4 linked regions of the Tamandua tetradactyla genome follow. The protein of the gene in region 1 interacts with the protein of each later gene in a pairwise test. Links are inferred from orthologs where the notes say so. Each region holds a gene or a part of one and is shown in the gene's direction. Other genes may lie near its edges.

The links.
Region 2: the proteins of MIF4GD (region 1) and EIF3G interact in binary tests that used the Homo sapiens proteins (3 or more experiments, as listed by UniProt). The link is inferred for Tamandua tetradactyla from reciprocal best matches to the Homo sapiens genes MIF4GD and EIF3G.
Region 3: the proteins of MIF4GD (region 1) and ATP-dependent RNA helicase DDX19B interact in binary tests that used the Homo sapiens proteins (3 or more experiments, as listed by UniProt). The link is inferred for Tamandua tetradactyla from reciprocal best matches to the Homo sapiens genes MIF4GD and DDX19B.
Region 4: the proteins of MIF4GD (region 1) and ATP-dependent RNA helicase DDX19A interact in binary tests that used the Homo sapiens proteins (3 or more experiments, as listed by UniProt). The two-hybrid records come from large-scale screens. The link is inferred for Tamandua tetradactyla from reciprocal best matches to the Homo sapiens genes MIF4GD and DDX19A.

Annotation. Positions count from the first base shown.
Region 1 is NC_135332.1:15,678,845-15,686,309, reverse strand, and holds the start of MIF4GD (MIF4G domain-containing protein), read left to right. Parts: upstream 1-4,332; 5' UTR 4,333-6,142; intron 6,143-6,329; exon of another isoform or gene 6,330-6,440; intron 6,441-6,447; exon of another isoform or gene 6,448-7,032; 5' UTR 7,033-7,100; coding exon 7,101-7,338; intron 7,339-7,465. Other genes in the region: SLC25A19 (mitochondrial thiamine pyrophosphate carrier), read left to right, coding at 1,216-1,399, 2,098-2,228, 3,804-3,986. UniProt on the Homo sapiens protein: Functions in replication-dependent translation of histone mRNAs which differ from other eukaryotic mRNAs in that they do not end with a poly-A tail but a stem-loop. May participate in circularizing those mRNAs specifically enhancing their translation.
Region 2 is NC_135337.1:91,611,192-91,618,773, forward strand, and holds the start of EIF3G (eukaryotic translation initiation factor 3 subunit G), read left to right. Parts: upstream 1-4,250; 5' UTR 4,251-4,320; coding exon 4,321-4,340; intron 4,341-4,455; coding exon 4,456-4,502; intron 4,503-4,924; coding exon 4,925-5,008; intron 5,009-5,095; coding exon 5,096-5,184; intron 5,185-5,311; coding exon 5,312-5,371; intron 5,372-6,360; coding exon 6,361-6,465; intron 6,466-6,574; coding exon 6,575-6,764; intron 6,765-7,511; coding exon 7,512-7,582. UniProt on the Homo sapiens protein: RNA-binding component of the eukaryotic translation initiation factor 3 (eIF-3) complex, which is required for several steps in the initiation of protein synthesis.
Region 3 is NC_135342.1:68,643,422-68,651,678, reverse strand, and holds the start of ATP-dependent RNA helicase DDX19B, read left to right. Parts: upstream 1-5,092; 5' UTR 5,093-5,132; coding exon 5,133-5,306; intron 5,307-7,996; exon of another isoform or gene 7,997-8,036; intron 8,037-8,257. UniProt on the Homo sapiens protein: ATP-dependent RNA helicase involved in mRNA export from the nucleus.
Region 4 is NC_135342.1:68,590,574-68,599,075, reverse strand, and holds the start of ATP-dependent RNA helicase DDX19A, read left to right. Parts: upstream 1-5,174; 5' UTR 5,175-5,293; coding exon 5,294-5,350; intron 5,351-8,502. UniProt on the Homo sapiens protein: ATP-dependent RNA helicase involved in mRNA export from the nucleus.

The DNA of each region.
Region 1 (7,465 bases):
TTCCCCCCTTTTGGTCAGGAAGGTGGTGGTGATCCCGTGGTATCAGGGCCAGGCTTATCCCTGGGAGTCATGTCCCATGATGCCAGGGAGACTTTCAACCCTGGATGTCATGCCCCACGTAGAGGGGAGAGTCATGATTTTCCTCGTAGGGTTGGACTTGGAGAGAGAAAGGCCACATGTGAGCATATGTGGTCTCCTTTTATGAAGCCTTTCCTCAAGTGTCTGATCATTGGTGCAATCCCAGAAAGCAGCAAGGGAGATTTGGGTGTATGGGCAGGCTCAGTGTCCAGTGGCCTTTCCTTAGGGGCCATCCCTTTCATGGTGCCCCTTGGGGCTGAATCCTTCAGTTAGACTGCAGCATTCTGGGAGCCAGGTGGGGGCGAAGGGTCAGGGTTTCTCCCTGTTGAGTTGCAGACCTGCCTTCAGTCACCCATCTTCAGTGAGGTCCTCACCACACCCTCAGCTAGGTGAAGCCAGAGCCCTTGTGGTCTATTTCAAATAATATATGCTTAATAGAAAGGTACAAAGATAACCAAATGCCCTGTGATCTTCTTGCGTAGATTTTGCCTATTGATGGTTAAGACAGGTTAAATATGTACATGTGGCAAAAATTTCAAACATAAAATGGTTTATAGTAAATCTCTTCCTTCCCTGCACATTTATCTGTGCAGAGATAATCAGCTATTCTTCATTTCCTGTGTATCCACTGAGGATAATCCCAGTGTCCACAAGCAGCCATGTCTGTAGATCTCTCTGCTTCCTCTACATACAATGTGCCCACTCTTCTGCATCTTGCTGATGTCATTAAACTATGTTTTGGGGATTATTTTATATCAGTCACGTAGGTCACTTCATCCTGTTTTAGCAGTTACCTCATGTTCAAGTGGGTGCACACTTGAACATAAAATGATAGGTTACATAAAATGATAGTTTATGTAACCTATCATTCAAAGATGGAGATGGCCTCTTTGTCTTCCACAGGCTGCTGCATGACTATCTTTGGATACGTCCTTTTGTGCACATGTGGGTCTCTCAGTCATGTAAATTCCTAGAAAGGGAGTTGCTGGAAAACCCTGTCCTTTAAATTTTTGTCCATTGTTTTCTTTCACTGTCCCCTTGGTCGAGTTTTTGGAGTTGGGGAAGCACATGTGATGGGTTGTGTTCTAGGGCTGAAGCTGCTGCCCTAGCTCACACTGCCTGTGTTTGTCTGTCCAGGTGTATAAAACCCTCCGAGACGCCGTGGTGACGATGTACAGGACTGAGGGCGCCTTGGTCTTCTACAAAGGCTTGAATCCCACCTTGATCGCCATCTTCCCCTACGCAGGGTTCCAGTTCTCATTTTACAGCTCTTTGAAGCATGCATACGAGTGGGCCATGCCAGCTGAAGGAAAGAAAAATGGTGAGACCTTCCTCAGGTGAAAGGGAATCTGTGTCTCCATTCCATCTCCACCCACAAGCTATAAAATCTCTTTCAGACTCACATAGGAAATACATTTTTCTTGTCAGGAGAAAACCACTGAAACACCACTCTTGTCAGGAGAAACACCACTGTTCTCTGTACCTGGCTTTGTAATGCAGCCAGTAAAACATACGAGCCCAGTGACCTGCAGGTGCCTTTTTTCTTATAGCTCTTGCCATATCCATCTTGGCCTCACCAGCATTCAGTTCCTAGGATTGGTCATGGTTTTCCTTTTGTAAGAGGTCCAATTTACAAATTGCCTGGATTTGTTTTTGTTTTTGTTTTAATTTGAGCAGATGGGGCAGGGCATGGGGGTCCTGTTCCCTCTCAAGTCTTAAACTTGTACCACCTTGCTGAGCATACAGGCCATTCCTTGCCTCTAGCTGGGGAGATTACTATGCAAAGGCTTACATCCTCCTGCCACCAGCCAGTCCGGTCTGCAGTCCCTTAGCATTCTTGCCAAAGGTGGTTATGTCGCGTTCACTCTTTTCTGGGTTAAACTCCTCTAATATCAAAGGGTGCTTGCTCAGGGGGTTTTGTTTATGGTACAGGATTAGACAGACCTGATGACCTTTAAGCTGTCTTCCAGAGATTACATTTCATTCCATTTTCCCCTCACTTCCACTTCTTTGGTTCAGGGAACCTCAAAAACCTGCTTTGTGGCAGTGGAGCTGGAGTTATCAGCAAGACCCTGACGTACCCTCTGGACCTCTTCAAGAAACGGCTGCAGGTCAGGGGCTTTGAGCAGGCCAGAGCTACCTTTGGCCAGGTGAGCCATCCCCCTGCAGACAACTCTGACCCTTGCTCCTCACTGGCCACAAGAAGGAGCCAAGGTCAACTCCTGCCTGGTTGTACAGTGTTAGCCACCATGGCCCTTTTACCTCCAGCCTGTCCTCAGGGACCCCCGAGCCCAGGGGAAAGCCACATGCAGAGCCCCATCTGATACGGTACTGTGGGAAGATCCAGGGGAAGAAAGATTCACAATCTCTGCCTTTAAAAAGTGTCTAGTCCAGTTTACAATATAGAATACACTCACCTAAGAAGGGTCCCCCAAATATTAAAGTGCTTGAAGAAACTCACACTAGTACATGGGGTGCCTTCCTTTATGCTGTAGGTGTTCTTTTATGCTGAAAAGGGGAAAATTAAATTTGAGCAACTAAATTATATTTCAGATACACGAAAAGGCTTTGCCATTTAGAGAAACCCTGGGTAGGTACATTTTGTAATGTTAATAGTCATGTCCTGCTCAGTGTGTTCATATTATCCTGTTCTGATTTTGTGAAAGACCACAGTGATGATCTGTGCCAGGTGGAGGAGGCAGCAGGGGTGGAAGTTAACCATGGGGGCATGAAAATACAGGCTGCCAGATGCCAGAGGAGGACAGCGTGAAATGAGAGGCAGGGAAGGGACAGTGCACTTCACTTGGGAAAGAGAAGAATTTGGGTTTATAATTGTGTTTAGGTTTTCACAGAAATAATATTTTCTTTGTAGAAAAATTTAGAAAGCTCAAATAAAAGGAAAGATAAAATCACCTATAACCTAACCACCACCCAGAGATAATCACACAGGACTTTTTGGTGTAGTAATTTTTTTATTTGCATAGATAAACACGTGTATGTTTTAACAGAAAGTGGGATTATACTGCATACAAGGTTTTGTAATCTTTTTACATTTACCAACTTGTCCTGAAAAGACAGTTTGAATTTGGACAGGGAAGAGGGTTAGAGAGAGAGAGGCCCCCACCTACTGGAGATAGTAAGAACAGACTTGGCTGGAGGTAGGCAGGGTCAGGACCAGGGGGAGGTGAAAGAGTAAGGTTGAGGTCAAATGGTAGAAGTCCTTGATGCTTTATGATGTCCTCATAGTTGTCAGGAGTTACTGAGGGTTTTGGGCCGGAGGGAGGCACAAAATGGGGCTCTACTTGGGGGCCACAGGACTGGCAAGCTCACTATGGAGTCAGCTGCCAGAGGTGAGACTGCAGCAGGGTGGGCAATATGGAAGGGGCAGCCCTGGCCAGGCTAAGGGGTAAAGAGGACCAGATTCAGACTTGTTGCCCAAGTGAGGCCAAGATGCCTCTAGGATGTGGGTCCGGAGCTATGGGCCTGTCCTCACCTGTCCCCATAAGAAGGAGCTCTGTCCAGGTGCTGATTCCCAGGCACTACACCAGTAAGTCTGGGTTACTCCACTGGATTACTCTCTTTACTTTTGCATTCATTCTTTCATCCAGCAAATATTTATTGAGAACTATGATGCACCAGCGGCTGTGTTGGCAGAATAATAGAGCTGGCTGTCCATACTTTAGTTGCCTCCTTGTCCTCAACCAGAGTGACCCTTCTCTCTCCAGGTACGGAGCTACTCGGGCCTCCTGGATTGTGCCACGCAGGTGCTGCGAGAGGAAGGTGCCCAGGGCTTCTTCAAGGGCCTTTCCCCCAGCCTTCTGAAGGCTGCTTTCTCCACAGGCCTGGTGTTCTTCTGGTATGAGCTCTTCTGTAACTTATTCCACTATCTGAAGAAGGCAGACAGCTAGCTTCGAGGGCAGGAAGGGCAACCTCCTGAAAGAAGGAAGACTTGGTCTCCAACCTGGTATCACACTGAGAGGTGCTGCCCGGCACCCCCTGCCAGCCTGGGGAATGAAGAGCCTTTAGGAGCAGGATGCAGCCTTAGTCCCCCCTGCTGGGACACCACCAGGACAGGGGCTTGCTGGGAGAAGGCAGGAATTGGTGTGTGGGCCGCAGTGATATAAAGCGCAGAAGAAGGTTGATGTTGTCATTTCTCCTCTTTTTAACCCACATTTGAAAGGAAATGGATACCATCCTATACTTCTTAGCCGCCTCTGCCAGGAGAACTCTCCTGGGTCTGAAAGGGGCTACAGTTCAAATACAGAGGAGGGGGGTTTAGGCTTTTTGCAGGGGTGTGTCCCCATACTTGGGCAGTTATTCCCACCAGTTTAATATACATTAAAGTTTAAGGCACATGCCTTATATTCCCCTCCATCTGTCCTGACAGATCACATGCCACATCCCTCTTCACAGAGTATTAGGGAAAGGATCTATAGCTCTGCTTCTAGTTCTGGGAGAAGAATCCACATTCGTCTCCTAGGTCTGCCTTAACAAATCATTACAATCTGAGGGACTTAAAACAACAGAAATTTATTCTCTCAGTCCTGGAGGCCAGAAACCTGAAATCAAGGTGTAGGCAGGGCTGGGCTCCCTCCAAAGGCTCTATGGAACAATACTTCGTTGCCGCCTCCAGCTTCTGGTATTTTCTGGCTGCCCCTGGCATTCTTTAGTCTGTTGCTGTGGCACTCGGGTTTCTGCTTCTGCCTGTACAGGAGCTTCTCCTCTGTGTGTCTTTGTGTGTCCTCTCCTTATATGGTCACCAGTCATCCCAGCCTGACTTCATTTTTTCTTTGCAGGTGACTATACCTGCAAAGACCCTGTTTTCAAATGAGGCCACAGTCTACAGTCCTAGGTGGATGTGAATTAGGGGGGGATTCTATTCAACCCATTCCACCCCCGCACTCCTGGATCCCTGTGTCTGGGGCCAGGACTGGTCATAGGCATGGGCCTTGGTGGGTTTTCAAGGGAAGCAGATAGCAGTGGCCTGGGAGGAAGTGGAAGGGGTGTGCCAGCATCCACACCCTCAAGGGGAACTCCATAGGGAGCCTGCTGGGTCTGCAGGGTGAGCTCTGAAGGTGGGAGCCAGGATGGGGAGCAGAGCTGATTTCCGCCTAGGACTTTGACCTGAGCCCTGGAGCCCTGGGTTGGGAACCTCTCCTTGCTCAGCTTTACTCTGGCAGCTACACTGCCTTGGAGTCGAGACTCCTGCTGGGAGCAGGCCTGGGGGTGGGTGTCGGGGCCTTTGACCCCATGGATGCAAGACCCCTTCTTTCACTGTTGTCCCTGTGCTGTCGTGCCTGGTCTGAGTCTGTGGTATGTCTGGTATCCTGAATGCTGAAGCTTCTGCTGCTCTTGGCTCCTGATTCTGGGGACCCAGGCTGCTGCTCAAGGCCCTTCTCATGACATGGGGCAGCAGGCAAACAGGCCTAGGTCATGGGTTGTAGGGAGGCAGGGACTTGAATGTATTTTTTTAAATGAAATTATAGGCAGTTGATTGAAGTAAAGTTTATTCTCATCTCTCCTGCTCCTTGGCTTTTTTGCTGCAGCTGAGATTTTGCAGCCGCATCCATTTCTCAGTGACCGCTTGGCCTTTTTAGACCATGAGAAACTGCCATCAGCACATCTGGTCTAAACTGATGGGAAAAGGAAGCAATTGTTTTCCACCCTTCAGGGTGCTCCTTGTGCAATCCACGGCAGACCTCAGGCTGCAGCCTTACTGAGGTCAGCCGGCCTCTCTTAGTCCTGGCCAAGGACAGCCCCTTTTAAACTTATTTTGTTTATTTTGTAGAAGAAGGGAATAATGGGATTCGATCCAGCCCTGCCAACTCCCGGCCTTCTCTACTTTGGGGGTGGGAGTGGGGCAATGTGGCTATCCCCTGTGAGGTCCCTGCCCATCCAGCCATCTCTGCCAAGCCTTTCGCAGGCTCCTCCTCCGCCATGCAGACTGGGCCTCAGACCTGATTAACCTGAGCCTTTGGAGTGGAGGGGAGAGGTGACCGGAGTGCCACTGAGGGCTTCACGCACACCAACGAGCCTGTCCAACCCGACGCCGACGAGCGGCGGGGTGAGAGGACAGGGCAGGGTGACCTCATCCTGGGGCAGGGTCGTTGTCCCGGATGTCCCGCGTGACAACCGGCTAGGCCCCACGCAAGGGGATCCTGCCCTCTGGCCTGGTGAGGTTGCGAGAGCGGGGCTCCGGCAGGTGGCGCTGGCGAGGCGGCCTCTGGCCCCGCCCCCGGGCCGGCGGCGCCGAGCTAGGAAATGACCTAAGCGGCGGCTCCCACGGCGCCGCGGACGCGGGGCGCGCGCACCCTGCCCACCGGGCAGTCCCCGGGCACGCGAAAGCTGCGCGGCCCCGGCAGGTGGGTCCCGGCCCTGTGCCGCCAGAAAAGGGCGTTTCGAGGCCCGGGAAGCCGCCGAGGTCTGGAGAGCCCTGAGGCGCGCCTCCTTTGGCCTCAGGGGAGGTGGCCACCAAGTCCAGCAGGGGATCCCAACGCGGGTTGTCTCTCGGGGACATAGCATCCCGGGCCCCCCCTTTAAGGGGCAGGACACAGGGTGGAGCTCAGGGAGTAGGAGTCCTGGGTGGAGGGTCCGGACGCTGCCACTCGGGAGGCCACTGCAGCCCGTGGGTCCCCGGGGAGAAGCGGGCCAGAGAAGGAGAGCTCAGGCGCTGGACGGTCGGGGGCGGCCGGGAAGGCTCTCTTGCATCCAGCCGTGCGGGCCGGCGACCCGAGGGGACTGCGGAGGACCCAGACTAAAGCCCCCAACCCCATCTCTTGCTGGGCCAGCAGCTTCCAGTCCCATTTATCCAGGCTGGACAAGTCTCGGATACACTCCTAGCTCCCCGCAGCCCTGAACCTCCCTTGGTATCACCTGGGAATAACCCTGCGTCCTGCCAGGACTGGAGGAGAGATGCCAGTCACCCTTCATCGCCATACTCTGTTGTAATCTCAGAAGCTTGCGGTTTCCTAAGATGAGCAGCAGGTGCCTGGCTGGTGCCCGACCCGGCAGGACGCCACTGAATGCCAGGGAGAGCTCAGTTGCATCAGCCTGAAGTCTGGCCAGCCCCACCCAAGTCCTGCTGGTTTGGGAGCTTTGCTCTCTCCCTTTGCTGCTCCTCTCTCCCAGGTGCTGTCGTTAGTCCCTCCCCAGTCAGGAGCTGCTGGGGTTGGATGGTCATGGGGGAACCCAGTAAAGAGGAGTATAAAATCCAGTCCTTTGATGCAGAGACCCAGCAGCTGCTGAAGACAGCACTCAAAGGTGAGCATGGTGAGCTCCTCCTGAGAAGGCGCTGGGGTAAAGTCAGGTCAGGACCAGGGCCCTGAGCCTAGGAGTGCAGCCTCTGTTTAGGGACCAGGGGAATGCTAGCCCTCTCGCTCTTCTTCCT
Region 2 (7,582 bases), on another chromosome or scaffold:
CGTTTTTCGCATGGGAAAACACCACGAATTGAAGCCAGGTCTCCAGCATGGCAGGTGAGAACTCTGCCACGGAGCCACCGTGGACTGCCCCGCCATGTTTAACTTCTTGAGAAACTGCCAAAGCATTTTCCACAGCTGCTGCACCATTTAGCATTCCCACCAACAATACAGGAGAGCTCCTATCTCTCCAGTTCTCACCAGCACTTGTTATTTTCCTTAAAAAACAACAACAACAACAAAAAAAAAAAACCAGCCTTCCTAGGGGGTGAAACGTATCATAACAGTTTTGGATTGTTTTTTAATGAAATAACTACTCAGGGCACCGTTGAAACTCCCTTTATATGCCTGCCAGGCCCCTGTCTGGCACTTTTTCAGACGCAAACAGTCTCAAGACATTTAGGGTGTCTCCTGGTCCTTGTCCTTTGACAGCTACTACATCTGCATGACCATGGCTGAGTATTATCTGTGTCTTTAAAAAATGCACAAATGATATTCTGCTGTACATATGCTCACCTTGCTTTTCTCCCTCAACCATGTTTGGAGTTTTCAAAGAAATGCAAACGACAGAAAAGCACAGCGGATCACACTACAACCTCAATGGTCCTTATCTGTTTCCACACTTCATTGCACGAGGAAGGCCCCTTTAACCACCCTATCATCCACTACAAGTGCTTATTGTCACGCAGATGTGTTCACACTCACGTTTCTGCCATCTCTGACCAAGAGCAGAAAACTTAAACAGTTTCATACAACCCTCGATTGGGCATCGACTGCCCCAGTCATGGTTCTGGGGCTGGGTGTGTGGCAATGAAAACAGACCAGAACTGCCGTCCTGGGCTCCCGAGCTGAGCAAATGTATGCAGTGGTGGCTGAGCGTGATACGTGCTACAAACAAGGAGGAGAAAATAGCGATGTTCTGTTCCAGATTCTCTTACTTGAGTGCACAGGTCTTATGTATGCAGCTGAAACATTTTTAGTTTTGCTTGTGTATTCACTCATGTAACCACCGTCCAGATTAAAACAGAAAATTCCCATCACCCCGGAAGGTTGCCAGCAGCTCCTCCAAAAATCACCCTGAACACCCCTTCCCCCATGTAATAGCGGTGCTAATATCTGTTATTATAGATTGATTTTGCCTGTTTCAGAACTCCACATAAGTGGAATCATTCCGTATATATTCTTTACTATTGTAACATGCATCCATGCAATCGTATGAAACAGTGGATTGTCCCTTTTTATAGCTGTATAGTATTCCACTGTAAGGATGGACCACTATTCATCTTGGCTGCTCCATCTATCAATTGCTGGATGTTTGAATTGTTTCTAGATTTTTGGCCATTGTAAATAAAGCTGCTAGGAATACTCCACGCATACTCTACATCTACATCGTGGCTTTTTATGGCCGCATCTTCCCATTTCTTAAGGAGAATTCCTCCAAGTGGAGTTCCATATTGTGATGTTAAGTTCTGGGGTCAATTTGGCCAAATGATGATTCCCAGCTGTCTGGTCAGGCGAGCACTGGCCTGGCCGTTGCTACAAGGATATTTCAGGGCTGGCTGCTAAACCAGAAGGCTGGTGTATTAAATCTTCCGTCAGTTGATTGAGTGTGTGGCTGATTATATCTGCGTTCAACTAAGGCCTGTCTCCCACCAGTGGGATAATCCAACCAGTTGAAGGCTCTTAAGAAAGAAGAGAGACTTTTTTCACTGCTTCTTCATCCAGTGAACCTCTCCTAATGGGAGTCCATCCAGACCCTTCATCAGAGCCGCCCGCTTCACAGCCTGCCTTGCGGATTTCAGACTCTTCCATTCCCACGGTTTCCTGAGAGACCTTTATAAATCCCATATTTACAGATATCTCCCATTGGTTCTGTTTCTCTAGAGAACCCTAGCTAATACACACGTCATTTGTCAGTTTTAGATAATCCCCTTTAAACTGCTGCAGGGTAGGCAGGGATGGCTCAGCACATGTTTTTTTTTTCATCTCCCTATTGATGGCTTCTTGGGGTTGGTTTTGTTGTCCAGAGCTGGACCCCTGGCAGGCTCCTGACGTAGGCACTCAGGAAAGTATACTCGAGAAGGGTTGGAGGAGAGGGGGCAGTTTTTGCCCCTCCACCGTTGGACTCGAGCTTTTCCCCACTGCTCTACACTGCCTTAGGCCCCCTTTTCTGTTTTCCCTCATAAGTATCTGACTTTTTGTAAAACATAATACATGCTCGATGTTGAAGAAAAAATATTCCACCCAGAAAGATTCCAAAAAAGGAGTAAAGACGAGATCAAATCAAAATACTCTCAAACACCAATATTTGGGTTTTAACGTCTTTCTCGGCAGCTCTGTTCATCCACAAATGTGCACAATTTTTCCTCCCAGGACAGTAACGGGTGGATGAGCCAACATTGAACTAATCTGCTGTTAATGATGGTTGGGTTGTTTGCAATTTTCTGGTCCTTTAAACCCTATTGTGCTGAACGCTGTTTTACACGAAACTTAAGACACCCGAATACGAATCTGTTAGGCCAGTCGTAGAAGTGGGAATGCAAGCTAGTGGATACACAAAAGAAATTAAAAATACACGTACGTGTTGCAGCTCATACAAATTACATAATACATAAAACATATAAAATGAATATTCTTGTATTTATGTATATAATTTTTAAATCAAAATAATGCAAACATGGAAAAAATTTAAAGTATAGCAGAAAAGTCCCCAAAAAAGTTTTCTGCCCCCGACGCATTTCTCCAAAGGCATCCTTTGGCAAGTTTCAGATATTTTCTTCCAGAAAATGGTTAGCATATAGCTGCATATCTATGTTCCAAGATTAACACAAATCAGATCATACATGCATTCTCCCCTGCCCTCATCCCTTATCCTGATGGTTGTTTTACATGAGTACAGATCATTCTACCCGTTAAAGACTGCACAGCATTTCACAGCTTTGTGGCTTAACACAAAGCTGATCTATTTAACCAGTCCTATTGGTGGCATTTCCTGTGTTTATCATGCACAGCACTGCACAGGCATCTTGTTCGCACATCTTGGCACACATTTAGAAGTTCACACATGGCTTCAATTATTAGCTGACTCAAAGGAAAATTCATGCATACATTTTAAGTTTTGAAAAGTGTTGCCAAACTCCCCTCTGAAGAGTTTGCATCATATCACCCCACCAACAATATGTGTGACCGTCTGTTTCTCAATCTTAACCACCACTGGGTAAAATCAAATTTTAAAAGTTTTGCCCACCTGTTAGGTTCTTTGGATTTTGCTTTTCTCAGGGGTAAATTTGAATAAGTTTGTACAAATAGCTACCGGCCCTTTGGACAAACCTTCTATCTTCTTCCATGTTGCCAGACTACCGTCCTGAAAGCCTGTGCTGATGGACCCCTCTTTCTTTGACTCTCTCACCCAAGTTCTTTTCTGGTCTCCTACTAATGTATTCCTTTCCTCCCCAACCCTTAACCTTCCAGAATAATATTTCTCACAGTAAAACCTGGTCCCGTCGGGCCTACCTGTTCAAAATGCTTCAGTGCCTTTGCCCACACCCCACAGCCCAAACAACGAGTCCAAACTAGTTAGTCTGGTTTAAAAAGTCCTTTGTGATCTGGCTCTCACCCCTCCCGAAAATGCCCATGAACTGGGCACTTCCTATGTAGACACATCTTATGGGTGCTGGGGACCCAGACGAGCACCTAGCAGCAAATGCCTGCTTTCCGTAGCTGACCTTCTGGAGCAGTGTTTCTCAGCTTTTTCCATCTCACTTCTAAGGAGAAAAAGTAACAAATTGAAGCTTTAAATCAATGAATTCGGTTTCAATTTCAACGACATTTAATTCCTCCCGCATGCAAGAAATCAAATCCTTCGGAATAAGAGTTTGTGCCACAGAGTTGGCTTGGGAGGGCCACAGACCATTGTCATATGTCAGGTTTTTTCCACCCTCTCCAAGAACCAATTTTCACCCCCTGCCCACTGAGGGGGCAGGGTCTAGAGGCAGAGATGGACCATCTCTAAGCCTCGGTGTCTTCAGCAGCAAGATGGAAATGATCACTTCCTCCTCAAGGTGCCCCTCACACGGCTCAATAAATGGGCTTTGGTACTATTAACATTTCTAATTTTATTAAAGTTAAAGTACATTTTATTAAAATTACTTAAAGATACAGGGGATGCGCAGCGTCCACAGTCGGCGCCTCCGCCTCCATCCGCAGGGGGCGCTGTAGGCGCCGTGGCCTGGCGCTCTAGGCGGCGGCGGAACCGGAAGTCTCGCTCTCCCCCACCTCCGCTCTCTGGCCCAGGCTCGGGCTGCGTGGGGAGAAGTTTGTGCGATGCCGACCGGAGATTTTGAGTGAGTCGGGGTCGCGGAGGGGGTCCCGGGAGGCGGTTGGGCGCTTCAGAGGAGTATTGCGGGGGGCCGGGCCTCGTTGATCCATCCTTCCGCTCCGCACACTTTGTCTCGGCAGTTCGAAGCCCAGCTGGGCCGACCAGGTCGAGGAGGAAGGAGAGGACGGTGAGAACCCCCAGTCGACCAGGGGCCCCGCGGCCTCCCCCGGCCCTGTCACAGCCTCTGGCTCCGGCCCCGCACCCTGCACCTCGCTCTAAGCCCGCATCTCCCATTACGGCCGGCTTTTGCCCAAGAGTCCTGGCAGCTGCTGCCCTGCTCGGGACAAGAGGCTGTAGTAGCCAGTTTCCTGCTTCTCTGCGAGCAATGAGTGGGGGAGGTGGGGATCTTCACGCCGCGGCGCTGAGGCTCGTCTTCCCTTGTCCCTGTCCCCACATTGCTCCCCAGGGAGTGTCTTAGCCAGCCCTCTGCCCGTGGTCCTGCCTTTCTCTGCTCCTGCTGTGGGCGTCGTTCCAAAGGTCCCTCCACTTCAGCTTGGGGACTCCAGCCCCTCCCCAGCTGACCTTCCCTCCCCACGCTCCCTCTTGCAGACAAATGTGTCACCAGCGAGCTCCTCAAGGGGATCCCGCTGACTCCCGGTGACACCAGCCCAGAACCTGAGCTCCTGCCAGGAGGTGAGTGCCCCTCCAGCACCTTTCCCATCCGGTCTGCGTTATCTAGGCAGGGTTCAGCTCTCCTCACCTTTTCCTCCTCTTTCTCAGCTCCACTGCCACCTCCCAAAGAGGTCATCACTGGAAACATCAAGACAGTGACCGAATACAAGATAGATGAGGATGGCAAGAAGTTCAAGGTGAGGCTGGCAGGAAGGGGTGGTACCCTTTTCCTTACAGCCCTCGGACCAGGAGCTGGGATGGGGCTGGTGGGAGAACTCTGACCCCAGGAGGGGCACAGGAAGCCTGACCCTCTCCCATTTGCAGATTGTCCGCACCTTCAGGATCGAGACCCGGAAGGCCTCAAAGGCTGTTGCAAGGAGGAAGGTGAGACACTCCTGCCCCCATCATTTGGGTTCCACAGGGACCGGAGTCCTTTTTTTTTTTTTCCCCCTCAGTGTTTGTTTCCAGAGGTGGGGTTTGCCTGTTTGTACCCATTTTGTTGAAGCAGAACAGAGGCCTAGGCATGTTTGCATCCTGTTGGGGCTTTGGAGAGTCCAGTGCACGAGTGGGTGGCGTTAGGTTTTTATTCCTCACGTCTTGTCTAATGGGAACAGAGCCAAACCCTCCTTGGAGGTAGTTTTGTGGCTCCCATTTACCCGGGGCCGAGTGCTCCAGGAAGAAGCAATGGTAGTAAATACCCTTGGCACAGTTTGCTGAGCAATTTCTCTGTACCAGATCCCGAGTCGTGTCCTTGCAGGGAGCGTTTTCTCATTTGATCCCCAAAGCAACTGTTTGTGGTTTCCCTTTTTTGGGGGGGTGGGGTGGGGGCAGGGCACACAGTCTGGGAATTGAATCCTGGTCTCCGGCATGGAAGGTAAGCATTCTACCACTGAACCACCCGTGCTCTCTGTAGTTCCCATTTTACAGGGAAGGATGCTAAGGCTCGGGGTAAGCAGCCCAAGGCCTTCACAGCCTGGGTGACCCTGTAGACCCCTACTTAGAACCACCCCTGAGCCTCGCTGCCTCCCTGATGGGGGCCAGGTTTGAGGACCACCACCCTATGTGGGCATGAGGCGTTGTCGGCTGTGCACCTCTTGACCTCTTGGCCCCTTGAGCCTCTGTTTTCTCATCTGGGACACAGACTTGAGAACTGCCCCAGCCCCCTGGAGCTGGTGGAGAGGCAGGGCTGGGGGCTCACTTGGGAAATGAGGACTGTCACTGTTACTGGGGAGTGGGGGGCATTCAGGGAGAGCAAGAACAGGGTTGAAGGCCCGACACCCCTGGGGCTGGCTGTGGGAGGTCTGAGGTGCCAGTGTGGGCCCCCACAGACCTGGTCCTGACCCCACTCCCACCCCGTCCTGCCCTGAGCTCAGAACTGGAAGAAGTTTGGGAACTCCGAGTTTGACCCCCCGGGGCCCAATGTGGCCACCACCACGGTGAGCGACGATGTCTCCATGACGTTCATCACCAGCAAAGAGGTACGTGGGAGGGGGTGCCAGGATGGGGCGGTGCCCAGGGTGGGGCGGGGAGGACACCGGCAGTGGGGCTATGGCCGTGCCCCTGAGCTTCCCTGCCCGCCCCTGCCAGGACCTGAACTGCCAGGAGGAGGAAGACCCGATGAACAAGCTCAAGGGCCAGAAGATCGTGTCCTGCCGCATATGCAAGGGCGACCACTGGACCACCCGCTGCCCCTACAAGGACACGCTGGGGCCCATGCAGAAGGAGCTGGCTGAACAGCTGGGCTTGTCCACGGGCGAGAAGGAGAAGCTGCCCGGAGGTGCCGGGCTTGGGGGTGCGGCTGGTGGGAGGGTGCCGTGTGGCATGTGGTGGGGCGGTGGGGGGAGTCCGGGTCTGGGAGCAGGGGGCACCTCCTCCTTGGCTGTCCTCTCCCCCGTGCCGCGTCAGCACTGCCAGGTTCCGGCTGCCATCCGTGTGTGTGCTGGGTGAGGGGCATGCTGGGCCTGCAGTGTCATGTCTCTCCCGTCAGGGGGGTCGGGAGCGGGGGTCGAGTGTGCTCCTGCACGCATGCGTGCTGCACTGTTGTCCTTGTGTGCGTGGGGTCTCATGGCTGTGATTCTGCTGGTGAATGGCGGCGTGAGTCTGTCTGCTACTGGCTGCAGCTCCCTCCCACCCCGCCGCCCATCCGCGGCCATGCACACGTGTGCACTCACATGTGCCTTCCAGTGTGGCTGTGCACGACTTGCTGAAGGGGATTCTGTGTCTGACTTGTGTGGGAGATGGACTTGTCCCTTGCCGTGTGAGGGCTGGGTGTCGTCCGTCCACTACCTGTGTGCATGTGTGCTTGCACCTGCTGTCCTCGTGGGCTTGTCCTCAGCTCTCAGCCCCTGTGGAGTTTTGCTCCACCAGTGCTCCCAGCTGGTTCGTACGTGCAAGGCGTCTACTGTCTGGATGGGACCCTGGTGTTGGCGCGGCCAGTGCAGCTCAGGGCCTTAGAAGGACCAACTGACCACCTGGGCCAGGGCCACCAGCCTCCTGTTCTGAGCCCTGTGCCTTTGGTCCCCAGAGCTGGAGCCTGTGCAGGCTGCCCAGAGCAAGACAGGGAAGTACGTGCCACCGAGCCTGCGGGACGGGGCC
Region 3 (8,257 bases), on another chromosome or scaffold:
TGAGATGTATTGCTTTTTTGTGTAAATGTTATTTTTCACAAAAGAGAAAAAAAAGGTTGATTGTGATGATAAAAAATATGTTTATATATTTCTTCTAGCCTCCAGTGTTCTGGAGCAGCTAGAAGGAAAAATCTGTGATGGTGAAATGGTAGCCCATGACAGACTCTGGGATCTCTCCTATAACTATGTGTTGGCGAGCACTTTGAAAATTATTGCTTCTTTCTTTCTATACTTTGTATATATGTTATATTATACAATTTAAAAAGTTAAAAAAAGAAATAAAAAAGATCTGGTCCTAGATACCAACTCTCCCATGACACCTAAGCTACTTTTAGCATCTGTAAAATGGGCTTAGGATATTTATTTTTTCGTTCGCTAACAGGTCAAATGGAGGTGGGTGAATAGTTGCTTTGGGAGCCTCCAAAGGAAGCCTTCACTGAGCATACCATTATCATTTGTCATCTACAATGGTGCTTTTTAAACTGTAAGGTGCCTTAGGGATCACCTGGAAATCTTAAAATGCAGATTCTGATTTAGTGAATGTGGGTGGGGTAGGGACGAAGAGTCTGTATTACTAATGGGCTCCCAGGTGATAGCTATGCTTGATGTCCTGCCAGGAGGGGGGGGGGAATCATTTAACAATAGCTAGGGAGTACTCAAGGATGAGCCTATGTGTTCATATGTAAATATTTATAAATTTGGTCCACTCAGGGTGTATGTGTGTGTGAATTCTTCATTTTATTCACCAATAATTATTCACCAATAAATATCTATTAAGCGTTGGTCCCTGAGAATCAAAATTAAGGAAAGGCGATGCTGCCCGGCGGTCACAAAGCCCCGAATCTAGTGTGCAAGCCAAACATTTTCAAAAGATGACAAAGTTACGCAAAGACGCCAGCTGGGGCCAGTCTTTTGCCCCAAGGTACCCAAGCGCGCTTGTTCAAAGGCTGTACTGTTCCCTCAGCTGATTGGCTGGCAGGTCAGGCTTGCAGGCCTCAGCCAATGAGGTTCGAGCCCAGACAGTGTGGCCAGTGGTGTTGGAGTGTAACCGCCATAGCGATGGCGGGTGCTGCTGGCCACGTGAGAGGCTGGGCCCTGGGAGGGTTTGCACTTCCTCTGCCCGTGGGCGATGTGAGTATCCCTGAGGGCAGAAAGCTTTTTTTTTTTTTTTTTTCAGACTTAGGCATCCTCCTCGACCCCAACTTTTGGGTGAGGGCAGAAATAATAATAATAGCTAACTAATATTTATTGAACTTTTGCCATATGCCTGGCGCTGGGCCAAAAGCCTTAACTGTGTGGTGTCGCTGAATCTTTGAGCTCTGGAGGTGGGTACATAACTGCGTGTTCATAGGAAACTGAGGCTGCGCGAGGTCACATGGAAGTAAGTGCAGGAGGCTGAATCAAATCTAGATGATCGTAATTCCCCTCGCACCACTCACTCCACACCCCACTTTGGAAACCAGGTTCTTTCTCAGCAGGAGACTCATGTTGTGCCGGTATGTTCGGGATGGACGTAGGAGAATCTAGAATCTTGATGCTTGTTCTATGTATTGTTGTTTGTTTAGTAGAGAAAAAGAACACATGGAAAAGGCAAGCAAGAGAATAAGCACCAAATTCAGGATAGTTGTTATATCTTATGATGTGTATAGAGGGGGCTTCAGTTGACTCTTAGTTTACTTTCTTAAGTCCTGTCATGGGAACCTACATGTTTATCATTCCCTTTCTTGTTGATCTGGAATACTTTTAATTTTAAAAGGAAAACATGCACGTGAAAAAAAAATTGAGGATGAAGTGTACACTAGGGAAAGGAAGTCTTCTCCCATCTGTCTTTTAGAGCCTCCCACCAAAGCAGCCAGTTATCATTTTGTGTGTGTTTATCTATGCATTGTCTATTTTATATGCCAGCATATGTGAGTTTTTCTTGTTTTCTGCACAGATAGGGCCTACTATATATAGTCTTGCCCGTTGATGATTTAATTTTAAACCTCATTAAACTTTTTTTGAAAATTCCTTAACTTCCTTTAGTCCTGTGAAGCAGTGTCATTTCTCTGGCAAAGTATTCCCACGGGTTGCTTCTGAGTTGTGATAGGATAAGATGTAGGTGATGGTTCCCAGGCTGTCTGCCATTTTTTGTACATCCTCGCCTGCAGAGTCCAAAAAAAAACACTTCCCCAGATTACCCCCCCTAAATGATGCAGGAGAAAAAAGCAATTATGGCAAGTAGAGTATTCTCTGGAACTGCTTTACCTTTCCTCAAGACGTTTTTACTCAAACCCTACAGGTAAATTCCACATAGAGCCCCACTATTAATTTGAAATTGACTTATAGTGGAATATTGGCGAAGTGAGAAAAGCTGGGATTGATTTTCTCATGTTACAGTAACGTGCCCGGGTTCTTTCTAGTGAAGTAATAAGGAGAAAGAAGCTTGTTTGATTTCAGTTAGGGAAAAGCAGGTGTCCTGGCCTGCAGGGGCCTTTCTAGCCAATTGACTGGAAAGCACTAGGCATGGAATGGGACATGAACTTTATTATAGTAATTTAATTACAGGAGTGAAAGAAAGAAGTCAGTCTGGAAATCAAGCTCTTCTATACCAGCAGCCGGTATAGAGCTCAAGGTGAAAGTGTTTCACAATTAAGTGGGAATTAGCAGGACCAGTTATAGGGGCCCAAGACAAAGACAGCAGAGAGGACTCAGTGAAAAAGATTATAGGGAAACATGATTATCAGAAGGGAGGGTAAGGTACAAATTAACATTTTACACAGAGAGGGGGCTGGGTTCTTGAGTACATTGATCAACTGCACATTCTTCCTTTGTAAAGAGGTTAGCTGAAACATTAACAGACCCAGGCCGTGCAAGCAGCTGCGTGCTTTAGAGTGTCACAGACACTCAGGGAATGGCTCTGCCCCTGGGCTTCCACGGCAAGGGTCGCTCAATCCTTCTACCTCTTCTAAAAACTCATGTTATCACAAGTAGTGTGGACAACCAAAGCTATAGGCTGAGCCCCCAGTCTTGGGGTTTGTTCATATGAAACTTAACTCTGCAAAGGATAGGTCAAGCCTACTTAAAATTAGGCCTAAGAGTCACCCCCAAGAGAGCCTCTTTTGTTGCTCAGATGTGGCCTCTCTCTCCAGCCAACACAACAAGCAAACTCACCACCCTCCCCCTCTCTACGTGGGACATGACTCCCAGAGGTGTGGACCTTCCTGGCAACGTGGGACAGAAATCCTAGAATGAGCTGAGACAGCATCAAGGGATTGAGAAAAACCCTTCTCACCCCCAAAAGGGGGATGAGTGAAATGAGACAAAGTGTCAGTGGCTGAGAGATTCCAAACAGAGTCGAGAGGTTATCCTGGAGGTTATTCTTATGCATCAAGTAGATGTCATCTTGTTATTCAAGATGTAATGGAGCAGCTGGAGGGAACTGCCTGAAAATGTAGAGCTGTGTTCCAGTAGCCATGTTTCTTGATGATGACTGAATAATGATACAGCTTTCACAATGTGACTGTGTGATTGTGAAAACCTTGTGTCTGACGCTCCTTTTATCTACCTTGTCAACAGATGAGTAGAACATACGGAATAAAAATAAATAATAGGGAGAACAAATGCTAAAATAAATTTAGTTTAAATGCTAGTGATCAATGAAAGCAAGGGGTAAGGGGTATGGTAGGTACAATCTTTTTTTTTTTCTTTCCTGTGTTCATTTTATTTCTTTTTCTATTGTCTTTTTATTTCTTTTTCTGAATTAATGCAAATGTTCTAAGAAATGATGAATATGCAACTAAGTGATGATATTGTGATTTACTGATTATGTATGTTGTTTCTTTATTTTTTTAATTAATAAATAAATTTTCAAAAAAGAAACCAGATATTTATAATCCATATTAGATGTGATGATGGGATTACAAATAAAAAAAATTTAGTTTGAAATGCTAGTGATCAATGAAAGGGAGGGGTAAGGGGTATGGTATGTATAAATTTTTTTTTCTGTTTTCGTTTTATTTCTTTCTCTGAATAGATGCAAATGTTCTAAGAAATGATCATGATGATGAATATGCAACTATGTGATAATATTGTGAATTACTGATTGTATATGTAGAACAGAATGATCAAAATATAGGAATATTTGCATTTGTATTGTGTTTTTCGGTATTTAAAAAAATAAAATAAAGTAAATTAAAAAAAAATGATCATGGTGATGAACAAACTACTATGTGATGATATTTTGAGCCACTGATTGTACACCATATATGGAATGTTTGTATGTTAAGGATGTTTGTTTTTGTATGTTGTTTTGGTTTGTCAATAAAAAAAAGAACATTCAAAACGGTAAATAAATAACATAATATTAAAAAAAAAAACTCGAATTACTTCTTTTAAAAAATTCCCTCAGTCACACAGCCCTTAAGTAGGAGAATAGGGATTCTAACCTAGGCACAGCTCACTCCTTTGCCTGTTAAGGTGCCCTACCTTTTCTTCCACCTCATACCTGCCTCTTCATCCCTTTCTCTGGTCAATGCCCGCCTCCCCTGCCCTCTGTCCTCCCTAGTGTCTGTGCAGTTCTACAAATCCACCACTCTTTGTTATGTCTTATCCTCTTCCGGGCCATTTTTTCCCTTGCACCTTCCTGGAGTATTTTTAAAGATTAAATTCCTATAAGTGGTGTTGCCACATTGTGGGACAAATACTTACCAAGTGGTATTTGAGAGAACTGATTCCTAATAATTCTGGTCAACACAAGGACCTTTTAAATTACCCGCCTGAAAAGTGGAAATAATATCTACTTGTTTCAGCATGCATTTTGGTGGCTGTCTGCAATGGTTGTTTTCTGTTTTACTACATTCAGTTTCTCTGAGTATCTTCTATGCCACTGTGCTGGGCCGGAATATGGTTTTATTCTTTGGATAGACAACCAGTCGTTTCTATCCAAAGCTTGGGAGCTTGGGAACTTTTAGATAGCTATTTCAGGCCGCGGTTCTGGACTTTTGATAGGAAAGCTTGAGCTGCGCAAGGGAAAAGAGTGCCGGCCTGGAGGGGACACAATCGACAGCCCTGAAGGGGCGAGAGACTGCCTAACCGGCGCGGACCTTGACGTCACCGCAAAGCGCTGCTTCCTGTTCCCAGCCCCTTGGCGAATGACTTCCCCTGCTACGGGGTTGAAGCCTGACTTACCAGGATCCCCCGGAACCCACGATCGCGCCGTGCCATCCTGCGAGTCCGCCAGGGCAGGGGTCCCACCCGCCCCTGGGACTATGGCCACCGACTCCTGGGCCCTGGCAGTGGACCAGCAGGAGGCAGCGGCTGAGTCGGTGAGTTGGCTTCAGTAGTAAAGGAGTCAGGGGCCAGTTCTGGACGGGGATTTAATCCCCCAGGGAGTAGAATAGGGATGGAGCCTGGACCCTAAAATGACTTTGTTTACCTATCCGTACTGGAATAAGGATTGATTGTAGATTGTACTCACCGCCCCCTCCCCCCGCCCTGGATTGCAGTTACCTTTGTATATGTCATCCTCCACCTCCACATTCTGAGATTCTTAGGGTCAGAGACCATGACTTACTCAAATTATTGTGTCCCCTCAGTTTGCTCAGTGATGATGCATTATTGACTCAGTAGGTCTGGTAGTCAGTAAATCCTCTTCTGATCCACTTAACTTTGTTCGATTTTCTGATTCTGACACACAGTAAGCAGAATATGTCAGGTATTACTGTATAGATTTCACTTCTCCAGGCTGAGTAACCTAAGTTCTGATAGTGCTTTGAACTAACTTCTGTTAGTCCTGTTTTCTGTGACTTCCTCCAGAATAAGGGCCTTGTCTTATTTTTTATAACATAAAAAATGTTATACATGCACAAAGTTTAAAGAGTCAGATAGTTTTATAAACAGTGGTTCCCACCACCACCGATTTTCCATCCTCCCCCCCCCCCCAGAGGAGAGGCAACTACTTTTTTCTCTTGAAACTGATTGACAGTATCTACCACCTTTTTCTCTGAATAACATGCTTGTTTTGTAACTTTCTTGAGTTTTCAGTTTTCAGTATTTATTGATTTGGGCTCTTTTTCTTCCATCCTTCCTCCCTGACCACACATATATACTCTCCCATTCTCCATCTTTTCAATGTATTATATTGAAATTTTAGTTAGAGCATCGTTAGATCAAGAGGCACTTGCCTTTAGCCTCTCTAATACACCTTAAACTCAAAAGGGGATATCTATAAAATGCGTAAGAATAACCTCCAGGATAACCTCTTGACTCTGTTTGAAATCTCTCAGCCACTGACACTTTATTTTGTCTCGTTTCTCTCTTCCCCCTTTCAGCCAAGAAGGTTTTCTCAGCCCCTTGATGCTGAGTCCCAGCTCATTATAGGATTTCTGTCCCATGTTGCCAGGGAAGTTTACACCCCGGGAGTCATGTCCCATGTAGAGAGGGGAAGGGCCGTGAGTTTGCTTGAAATGTTGGCTGAAAGAGAGGCCACATCTGAGCAACAAAAGAGGTTCTCTGGGGGTGACTCTTAGGCCTAGTTTTAAGTAGACTTAGTCTATCCTTTGCAGGGATATGTTTCATATGAACAAACCCCAAGATTGGGGTGGGGGGGTGGGGCTTGGCCTCTTGGTTTGGTTGTCCCCACTACTTGCAAGAATATTGAGAATTCTCCAAATGGGGAAGTTGAATTTTCCCCCTTTCTTGCCATTCCCCCAAGGGGACTTTGCAAATACTTCTTTATTCACTATTCAAATCGATCTTCTATCTTTCTTTCTGGTTTCATTTGTGCCCCAGGTCTCCTCCTTCTATCATTCTCACATTCAGCTTCATTAGGTGTTCTAACATTATTGTACTACAATTAGGTAGTATTGTGCTGTCCATTTCTGAATTTTTACAGTCAGTCCTGTTGCACAGTCTGTATCCCTTCAGCTCCAATTACCCAAAATCGACCCTATTTCTATCTCCTGATAGCCTCTGTTAACTCAAATTCTCCAAGTTCATTCATTAATGTTAGTTCAAATCAGTGAGACCATACAGTATTTGTCCTTTTGATTCTGGCTAATCTCACTCAGCATAATGTCCTCAAGGTCTATCCATGTTGTTACATGCTTCATGACTTTATTCTGTCTTACAGCTGCATAATATTCCATCGTATTTGTATATCACAGCTTATTTAGCCACTTGTCTGTTGATGGACATTTGGGCTGTTTCCATCTCTTGGCAACTGTAAATAATGCTGCTATAAACATTGGTGTGCAAATATCCGTTTGTGTTCTTGCCCTCATGTCCTCTGAGTAGATACCTAGCAATGGTATTGTTGGATCATATGGCAACTCTGTACTTAGCTTCCTGAGGAACCACCACACTGTCTTCACAGCAGTTGTACTATTTGACATTCCTACCAATCGTGAATAAGTGTACCTCTTTCTCCACATCCTCTCCAGCACTTGTCATTTCTGTTTTTTTTTGATAATGGCCATTCTAGTGGGTGTGAGATAATATCTCATTGTGGTTTTGATTTGCATTTCCCTGATAGCCAGGGAAGTTGAGCATCTTTTCATGTGCTTTTTAGCCGTTCGTATTTCCCCTTTTGAGAAGTGTCTGTTCATGTCTTTTGCCCATTTTATAATTGGGTTATTGTGTTTTTGTTGTTGAGTTAAACAATCTCTGTATATATTCTGGATACTAGACCCTTATTTGATATATCATTTCCAAATATTATCTCCCATTGTGTAGGCTGTCTTTTTACTTTCTTGACATAGTTTTTTGATGCACAAAAGTGTTTAATTTTGAGGAGTTCCCATTTATCTATGTCTTTCTTCAATGCTCGTGCTTTGGGTGTAAGATCTAGAAAACCACCTCCTATTAAAAGGTTTATAAGATATCTCCCTACATTTTCTTCTAAAAATTTTTATGGTCTTAGATCTAATGTTTAAGTCTTTGATCCATTGTGAGTTAATTTTTGTATAGGGTGTGAGATATGGATCTTCTTTCATTCTTTTACGTGTGGATATCCAGTTCTCCAAGCACCATTTATTGAAGAGACTGTTCTGTCCCAGGTGAGTTGGCTTGACTGCCTTATCAAAGATCAGTTGACCAGGGTGTGCTACGGTGGCTCAGCTTGCAGAGTTCTCGCCTGCCATGCTGGAGACCAGGTTGGATTCCTGGTGCCTGCCCATGTAAAAAAAAAAACCAAAACAATTGTCCATAGGTGAAAGGGTCTTTATCTGAACACTCTATTCTATTCCGTTGGTCAGTATATCTATCTTTATGCCAGTAC
Region 4 (8,502 bases), on another chromosome or scaffold:
TGCCCCATAGGATTCACAGTTGTGAGAGATTCTGGTGTTGCTGCTTTTGCTTTTGATGAGAAGCTTTGGGATGTAGGTGTTTGAGACAAGAAAAGGTGAGAGGTGCCTCAGAAATTTAGTTTTTTTTGAAAAGGGATGATTAGGCTGATGTCATGGTTAGGGACAGGTGTCAACTTGGCCAAGTTGTGGTACCTGTTCATCTGATTGGGCAAGCGCTGGCCTGTCTGTTGCAATGAGGACATTTCATAGGATTAGGTCATGATCACGTCAGCTACATCCACAGCTGATTCCATTTGTAATCAGCCAAAGGGAAGTGTCTTCTGCAATTAGTGATGCTAAATCCAATCATGGGAAGCCTTTTAAGGAGGACTCAGAGGAGACAGGTTGCATTCCTGCTTTGGCTGGTGAGCCTCTCCTGTGGAGTTCATCCAGGCCATCCATTGGAGTCATCGGCTTTGCAGCCTGCCCTGTGGATTTTGGACTCTGCATTCCTACGGTCACGTGGACTCTGCATTCCTACGGTCATGTGAGACACTTTCATAAATTTTATATTTGCAAGTGTTCCCTGTTGATTCTGTTTCTCTAGAGAACCCTAACTAATACAGCTAATAAGGACCAGAGGACCATCATTCTACCCAGGAAGCCAATTAGCCATCTCCACAGGATTGTTGTCTGATGTAGAGTGAGAACATGGCACTGTGTCCTGATAAGTATGTAATCTTAAGGCAGTAGCATATTGGTGGTGAGGATGCTAGGAATTAGACTTGTCATATGCAAAGACAAGATATCATTTGATATCCTTCAGCAGCTGTGCGTGTGTGTCTATATATGCAGGTCCTCTGTTTTGATGAGTTGTTAGGAGCTGAGAAAACGTTCTTACCCCCTCCCCTCTTTTTTTTTCACAGTACAAATGAATTTATTACCACCTGTACTTTTTTTAAGCTTTGGTTTTGTTTTTCATTACATTGTTGTTGGGGATTAAATCATGTCCACCACAAAAGGTCAGTCAGATCCCAACCTTGGGCCTAGAATGTGAAGCCATTGTAGATTGGACCTTTGAAGATGTTATTGGTTAAGGTATGCCCAAACTGAATGAAGGTGGGCCTTGATCCAATATGGCTGAAATCACTATAAACAAATGAAATTGGACGTAAAAAGAGAAGCCACAGCATTCCAGGCAGCAGTAAGAAGAGGACTTATTTCCATACTTGGGGCCTCCATTCTTACCTGAATCCCCACAGCACAGGAATAAGGGCCTGCTCTGCACACCCTGGATTAGACCCTATGGCTGAAGAGAAAAACGTCTCCAGAGGAAACACAGAGGTCAAAATGGAGGAACCAAACCTTCAACCTGAAACAACTAGAAACTCCCAGGAAGTAAAGAAGGAAGACACTCAGAAACCAAAGAAGCCCACAGGTGGTCCCCATGAGAACATGGCCAGTGTTCCACCTTCCGTGTTCAAACTCCAAACCTGCACAATCCTCAGGCCCCAAGAAGAACCAGAAGATGCCAGGTTGGGCACACTGGACCCCGAACCCACCATGGTTCCCTCCATGCCCATATCCTGCCATTGTCCTGGAGGATAGCATCCCCCAGCAGCAGTGGTTGGCTTCCTCTGAATCAGATACAGATCCTGGATGGAATAACAATGTGAACCTTTTTCCCAATTTTGTTTGAGAGATGAACAAAATATCATAGATCCATTCATTCATTCAGGATCCCTTCCCTTCAACAAATACAATCTAGTGACAATAAAATTTGAAGGTCAACGAGAAAAAAAAAAAAAAAAGAGAAGCCACAGGGAGCAGCCGGAAGCTGGAAGTTAACAGAACCCTGAAGAGAAAGAATACACTGCCACATGTGTGTCTATGTGACAGTATAGCCAACAACTCCAGCGATTGTCGGCCAGCCAGAAGATATCGAACCCGAGAGGAAACAAGCCTTCTAGCTTCTGACATCATGAGTCAGATTTCTGATTTTGAGCCAACTGATTGTATGGTATTTCTTTTAGCAGCCAGGAAACTAAAGCAATTGTCTTATTTTTAATTGACATATACATTATATTAAGCACAATACACAGATATTAGGTGTACAATTCCATGAGTTTTGATCATTGCATCACCTGAGTAACAACCACCCCAATCAAGGTTTGAACATTTTCGTCACTCCAGAAAGTTCACTTGTGCTCCTTTTCAAAATCAATCCTACCCACTTCAGCCCATGCCCTGGCAACCATCGTTCTGATTTCTGTTGCTATAGATTAGAAATACCTATTTTGAACTTTTACAAATGGAGTCATGCACTGTGTACTCTTTTTGTGTCTGTATTCTTTCACTCAAACCTAATGTCTTTGAGATTGCGAATCACTCATCCATGTTGTTGAGTGTAGCAGTAGTTCATTCCTCTTTTGCTTTTTAATCAACTTCATTGAGAGGTATAATTTACATACTATAAAGCGACATGTTAAAGATACAGTTAATACTGTTAAAACCGATAACGTATTTTGACAAATGTTATATGAAACCAGGACCCCAATTCAAGATATAAAACATTTCCATCTTCCCAGGAAGTTCCCTTATGTCCTATCCACCTGTGCTGGTTTGAAACTGTTATGTACCCCAGAAAAGTCATGTTTGAATCCTGATCCAATCTTGTGGAGCCAGACCTATTGCTTAGGGTGGGAAACTCTGAATTGTTTCCATGGAGATGTGACACATGTAGTTGTGGGTGTGGCCTTTTGATGAGATGGATATGTGACTCCACCCATTCAAGGTGGGTTTTGATTAATTTACTAGAATCCTTTAAAAGGGGAAACATTTTGAAGAAACCTCAGTTGCAGATGCTTGGAGAACACTTGATTCAGAACTGACAGTAACACAGATGTTTGGAGATGCTTGGAGCACCAATAGAGAGAGCAGACACCTAGACATGGGCAGAGCCCAGCAGACATCGCCATGTACCTTCTCATGAGTTGCTAAGCAAGCCAGAACACAGAGTTATGTCCCAGAGGAGCTACTTGAAGGCCCATAAACACTTAGAGAGGAGACCTCTGGGATCAGAAGCTGGAAGCAACAGAGCAGAAACAAGAAATCAGCAGATGCCAGCCATGTGCTTTCCTGTGTGACAGACATCGACCTAGCTTGAGTCAAGGTGTCTTTTCCGGGATGCCTTAGTTTGGACATTTTTATGGCCTTAGCACTATAAACTCATAATGTAATAAATTTCCTTTATAAAAGCCATTCCATTTCTGGTGTATTGCAGTCCACCAGCTTTAGCAACCCAAAACACAACCTTAACCCCATCCAGAGGCAACCAGTGTTCTGAAATTACTATAGATTTTGTTTTACTCATTCTTGAACCTCATATAAATAAAATTAGACAGAATTTATCTCATGTCTGTTATCTGTAGCATAATGTCTGTAAAATTCATCTGTTTCATCATGTGTTATCAGTAGTTCTTTTTTATTGCTGAGTAGTATTCCATCGGACAAATATACTTCAATTTGTTTATCCATTCTCCTGTTGATGGACATTTTGGGTTGTTTTCAGTTTTGGGTTATTATGACTAAAGTTGTTACAAACATTTGTGTACAGGTCTCTTTGTGGACATATCTTTTCATTTCTCTTGGAATAAAATTGATGGGTCATACAGTAGGTACATGTTTAACATCTTGAGAAATTGCCACACAGTTCTACAAAACTTGTGCTATTTTACACTCCCTCTAGAAGTTTATGAGAGTTCCAGTTGCTCCACCTGCTTCTCAACACCTGGCATGTAAATATTTAATTTTAGCTATTCTAGTGGTGTGTAGTGGTATCTCACTGCGACTTTGGTTTACTTTTCCCCAATAACTAATGGTTTTAACACCTTTTCATGTACTTATTGACATATTCTCATTTTTGAAGTGTGTTCAAGTTATGCATTTATTTTGACACATTCTTCCACTGTATAGAAACTTATTCTGGAGTAATACATCTTAAATAAAAAGCTATTTATTGCTATATAAAAAGCTAATATAATAATAAATTAATATTTATTGACTCAAAAGGATAAATATTGTATGTGCCAGGCACTTTCCCGGGTTTACTAATTAGCAGTGACCAAGACAGATGAGATCTTTGCTCTTTTTGAAGACTTCATATGCTTTCAAGGAGAGACAAAAATATTTATCAGAAGCAACTAAATGGTTAATAATGACATGAGAAACCACGTAGTCTTATAATGTTAAATTTAAAATTGTATGTATACTTTTTGGGGGACTGTGTAAAATACCCCTGCTATGTTGCATATGGACAAAAACTGGAAGAACCCAGAAGGAAAAAAATGCTGTTCGTGTGTTTATAGAAATGATGGGATTGTGGGGATGAAGTGGTGTGTGTGTGTTTTCCATTTTTTCTTATGTGTTATCACTTCTAAGAGTAGAAACTAGCATCATATGGTATTCTGTTTCATGTAGCTTTCCTTTGTATAAAGCTTTACAGTTGTCAAAACACAAATCAGAATTGAGCGTGCAGATTATAGCATTTTATTTTAGACATCCAAAGTTTTACAGCAACAAGTCAGTCAGTTCACCTGCAAAAGTGAAAACAGCTGGGAGCTTCTTGGCCTTTTTATAGATACAAAACGGAAGTTAGCTTGACTCTTATTGATTGGACAGGGGCTTTTCAAGTATATATGGACCAGTTTGGGGCAGGTGGACATTATTTTGTATTGGGTAAAATATAAAGACTAGATGCTTGAATCGCTATCTGGGTCCCCTTAGTGGGGATTCAAGTTTCAAAAGATATCAAAAGGAAACTGAAGAAGGAGGTCAAAGAGTAAGTAGGGCATGGTTTTGGGTTTTTGTTTTGTTTTATTCTTTTGTAGGGCATGGTTTTTATGGTTTGGTTTTTTTTTTATTTTTTAGCTCTGAAGTGGTCCCAGGGCTTCCTCTAGATAATTTCATCACAGTTCAGAGACTCTACATTTACTATGAAACGTGGTAGTTTTACAACTAAAACTTCAGAGAGAAGTGAGAGAAGAGTTTTACTCAGCAGAGATATAGGACTTCAAGGTACAACGAGGAAGCGCCTCGCTAAATCCGGCGGAAATGACGAGTTTCTCAAGCGAGGAGGGAGGGCGGAGATTAGCCGCGGGCGGGGAATGGCGGCTTCTCGGGCCTGACGTCACTTTATCGCGCTGCTGCTTCCGGTCCGCGTGAGAGACGTTTTCTGGCCCGCGGATGGTTTAGGGCTGGTGCTGACGTGTGGTCCTTGTGTATTCCCTCGTGTTTGCCTTCCGCCCTTAGGACCATGGCCACCGACTCGTGGGCCCTAGCTGTGGACGAACAGGAAGCGGCAGTCAAGTCGGTTAGTTGCTTTAACTCAAAAGGGTGGTGAGAATATAGTAGCGGCTTAGGCGGACCCAGGTTCGAGCCCAGGGGGAAAGTGCTCCCGGGGCGAGTAGGCCTGTGGACATGCGCCCTGAGATTAAATCTTATTTGCGTCTAAAACTAAAGAGGCCAGTATCCCATTTTTTATTTTCATTTGGGCCAATTATAATTTTATCTTGTGGCAGATCTCTCCCTGCCACGTATCCTGTCTTTCCTGTATTGCACCTGTATTTTCAGGGTCGGTTTTAAGCAAAGGCAAATATAACGCGGATTCTCTTTATCTATTAAGCAACTGTTTTCAGTGTCCTAGGTAATTCATATTTTAGCATGTCTTGGATCCATGACTGGGTCTAATATGATTGGCAGCTTGTAGCTCTTCGCAGAAGAAATATGTTTCAACCTACTGTAGATGTTGGTGGGGTTGGGAGGCACTTCAATTTTTTTCATTGATGTTGTTTATAGTAACATTTATTTCCATGTACTGTTTACTCTTTGAAAGTTTCCAAGCTTATGTGGTCAAAGTTGTACTTTCAGAGTCTTTTCTGGCATATAAAAATAGATCTGGAGGGAAGAAAGAGAGAGAGAATAATGTATCTGGGAATCTGGGTTGGATGCAATTTGGGGAGTCCCAATGAAAGATAATAAAAATATGAATTGAAGTAGTAAAAATAGAAAGGACCTGATTGATGCCAGTTCATTTGTCCCTGACATATTTTCAGACACAATGTTTCCTTTACTTCCTCTGGCTATGTCACCAATTAAGTTTCTTTTCTTTCCAAGACTAGCAAATTAAAAAAAAAAAAAGAAACCCTAAGAATCTTTAGAGATATAACCTGTGACCTTTTTGAAATTAGAGCTGTCATAGAGATCCTGAGGTCCTCCATGAAGTCCCTTTTAGTGTCTGCAAGGTCACCTTTCAGTGAATCAGGGCCTTGGGAACTCGCATAATGCTAGCCACCCAGGCAGGAGTTATTTTATTACTTATGTTGGGGGAAAATACCTTTATCATGACTGAAAACCTGTGTCTAGTGTCAGAGACACTGCCTTTTGTGAAAGACTAGATTAATGATGAGAAGGTTGCTGCAAAGGGTGAATCCAGAGTGTAGAAAAATAGGGTGCTGATTGGCCTGCCTCTTCCCCATGCTGAAGTTACCTCTCTCAAAACAGGAGGACTTGACTGCCAGCACATTCCTCCTTGAATATGGCTGAGTAAATGCTGACAAGTTGTTGCCCTTAGGATCTCTTTCTCCAGCTGTTGAGCATGTTGCCTTTTGTTAACACATTATACAGATTGCGATATGTTAGATTCGGTTACAGTGTTCTTTTTCATCAGTCAGACTTCTCAAAGACTAATCAGCTTGTTTGGAATGGGGCTTCAGACTGTCTTAATCACATTTTCAGACGTTGCAAGAGTAATATGCTTCTATTGATCCCTATAGATCAATATATAGATATAATACAGATAGCCGCAGTATGAGGATTAGCTGATGGGTAAGTTCTTTTAAAAGATGCCTTGTCTTGTGTGTGCCAACTTTCCCATTGGCTTGAGAGAAAAGGCATCTGTCCCCAAGGAGGTATGTTAATCTGATTTTGATCTTTAAAAACTGGTTTCTTAAGAGATCAGATCAGTACTCTGCTGTATGAGGGTGGACCTCCTTTTCCTAAAGGCCAAGAGCAAGCTCAGGTTGCAGGGAGGGGGATTGGAGGAGGCAACATATTTAACAAAGTACAGTAAGCCCTCAGTGAACATTAGTGATGCTCTTAAGGATAATGAATTATGTCAACTAGGCTCTTGTGGGGAGCAGAGCTTGGGGCCTAGGGCTTCATTTGGGTATTCCGCACAACCTTTATAATATCACGAATTATTATTGCTATTATTTTTTATTAACATAGCAACATACAAACACAAACATTCTTACCATATGATCATTCCATTCTACATATATAATCAGTAACTCACAATATCATCACATAGTTGTGTATTCATCATCATGATCATTTCTTAGAACATTTGCATCAATTCAGAAAAATAAAAAGAAAACAGAAAAAAATTCATATACAGCATACACCTTTCCCCTCCCTTTCATTGATCACTAGCATTTCATTCTGCTAAATTTGTTTTAACATTTGTTCCCCCTGTTGTTTATTTATTTTTAATCCATATGTTTTACTTGTTTGTTGATAAGGTAGATAAAAGGAGCATCAGACACACAATTTTTACGATCACAGTCACATTGCAAAAGCTATATCATTGTACGATCATCTTTAAGAAACATGGCTGCTGGAACACAGCTCTACATTTTCAAGCAGTTCCCTCCAGCCTCTCCATTACACCTTAACAAAAAGGTGATATTTATATAATGCATAATAATAATAATCTCCAGGATAACTTCTCGAATCTGTTTGGAATCTCTCAGCCATTGACACTTTATTTTGTCTCATTTCACTCTTCCCCCTTTCAGTTGAGAAAGTTTTCTCAATTCCTAGATGCTGAGTCCCAGCTCATTCTAGGATTTCTGTCTCACATTGCCAGGAAGGTCCACACCTCTGGGAGTCATGTCCCACGAAGACAGTGAGTTTGTTTGTTCACACAATTATTCTTACCAACACTTTCAGTATAGGAAAATAATTCTCATGACATTGGAGGCTTGTTTGCAGACATATGAATTATTATTCTGTTTAAGTGTTCTGCTTAGTTTGTATTGACGAAGTGGCCAAGAGTAGATGAAAAACCATTTTGTTTACATTTTTGGAAGATTCTCAAATCAGGAACTTAGTTTATCAATACTTTCAGGGTAACAAGCTTTTGACTAATTTATATGTAGGTGGTTGATAAGAAAGAAAACTAATTTATTTAAGTGTTGCTTTTAATTAAGGGTGTGGGTTTCAGGGCTAAAAAGATAAAAGCTTGTTTGAGATATTTAGGTGGTATCATTCTTCACTGTATGTAGGAAGACTGAGTGTTTGTGGCATTGAAAGGATATAATAGATACTTATTTAATGAAGGCTAGATGTTGTAGAAAGAGCATTAATAGGGAGAGAAGCAGAGGTTTGAGACTATAGTCATACTTTTTCTCCCTATCATTACATTTAACCCACCCTCTCTTTTTATTTAGGCTGTTGGAGATA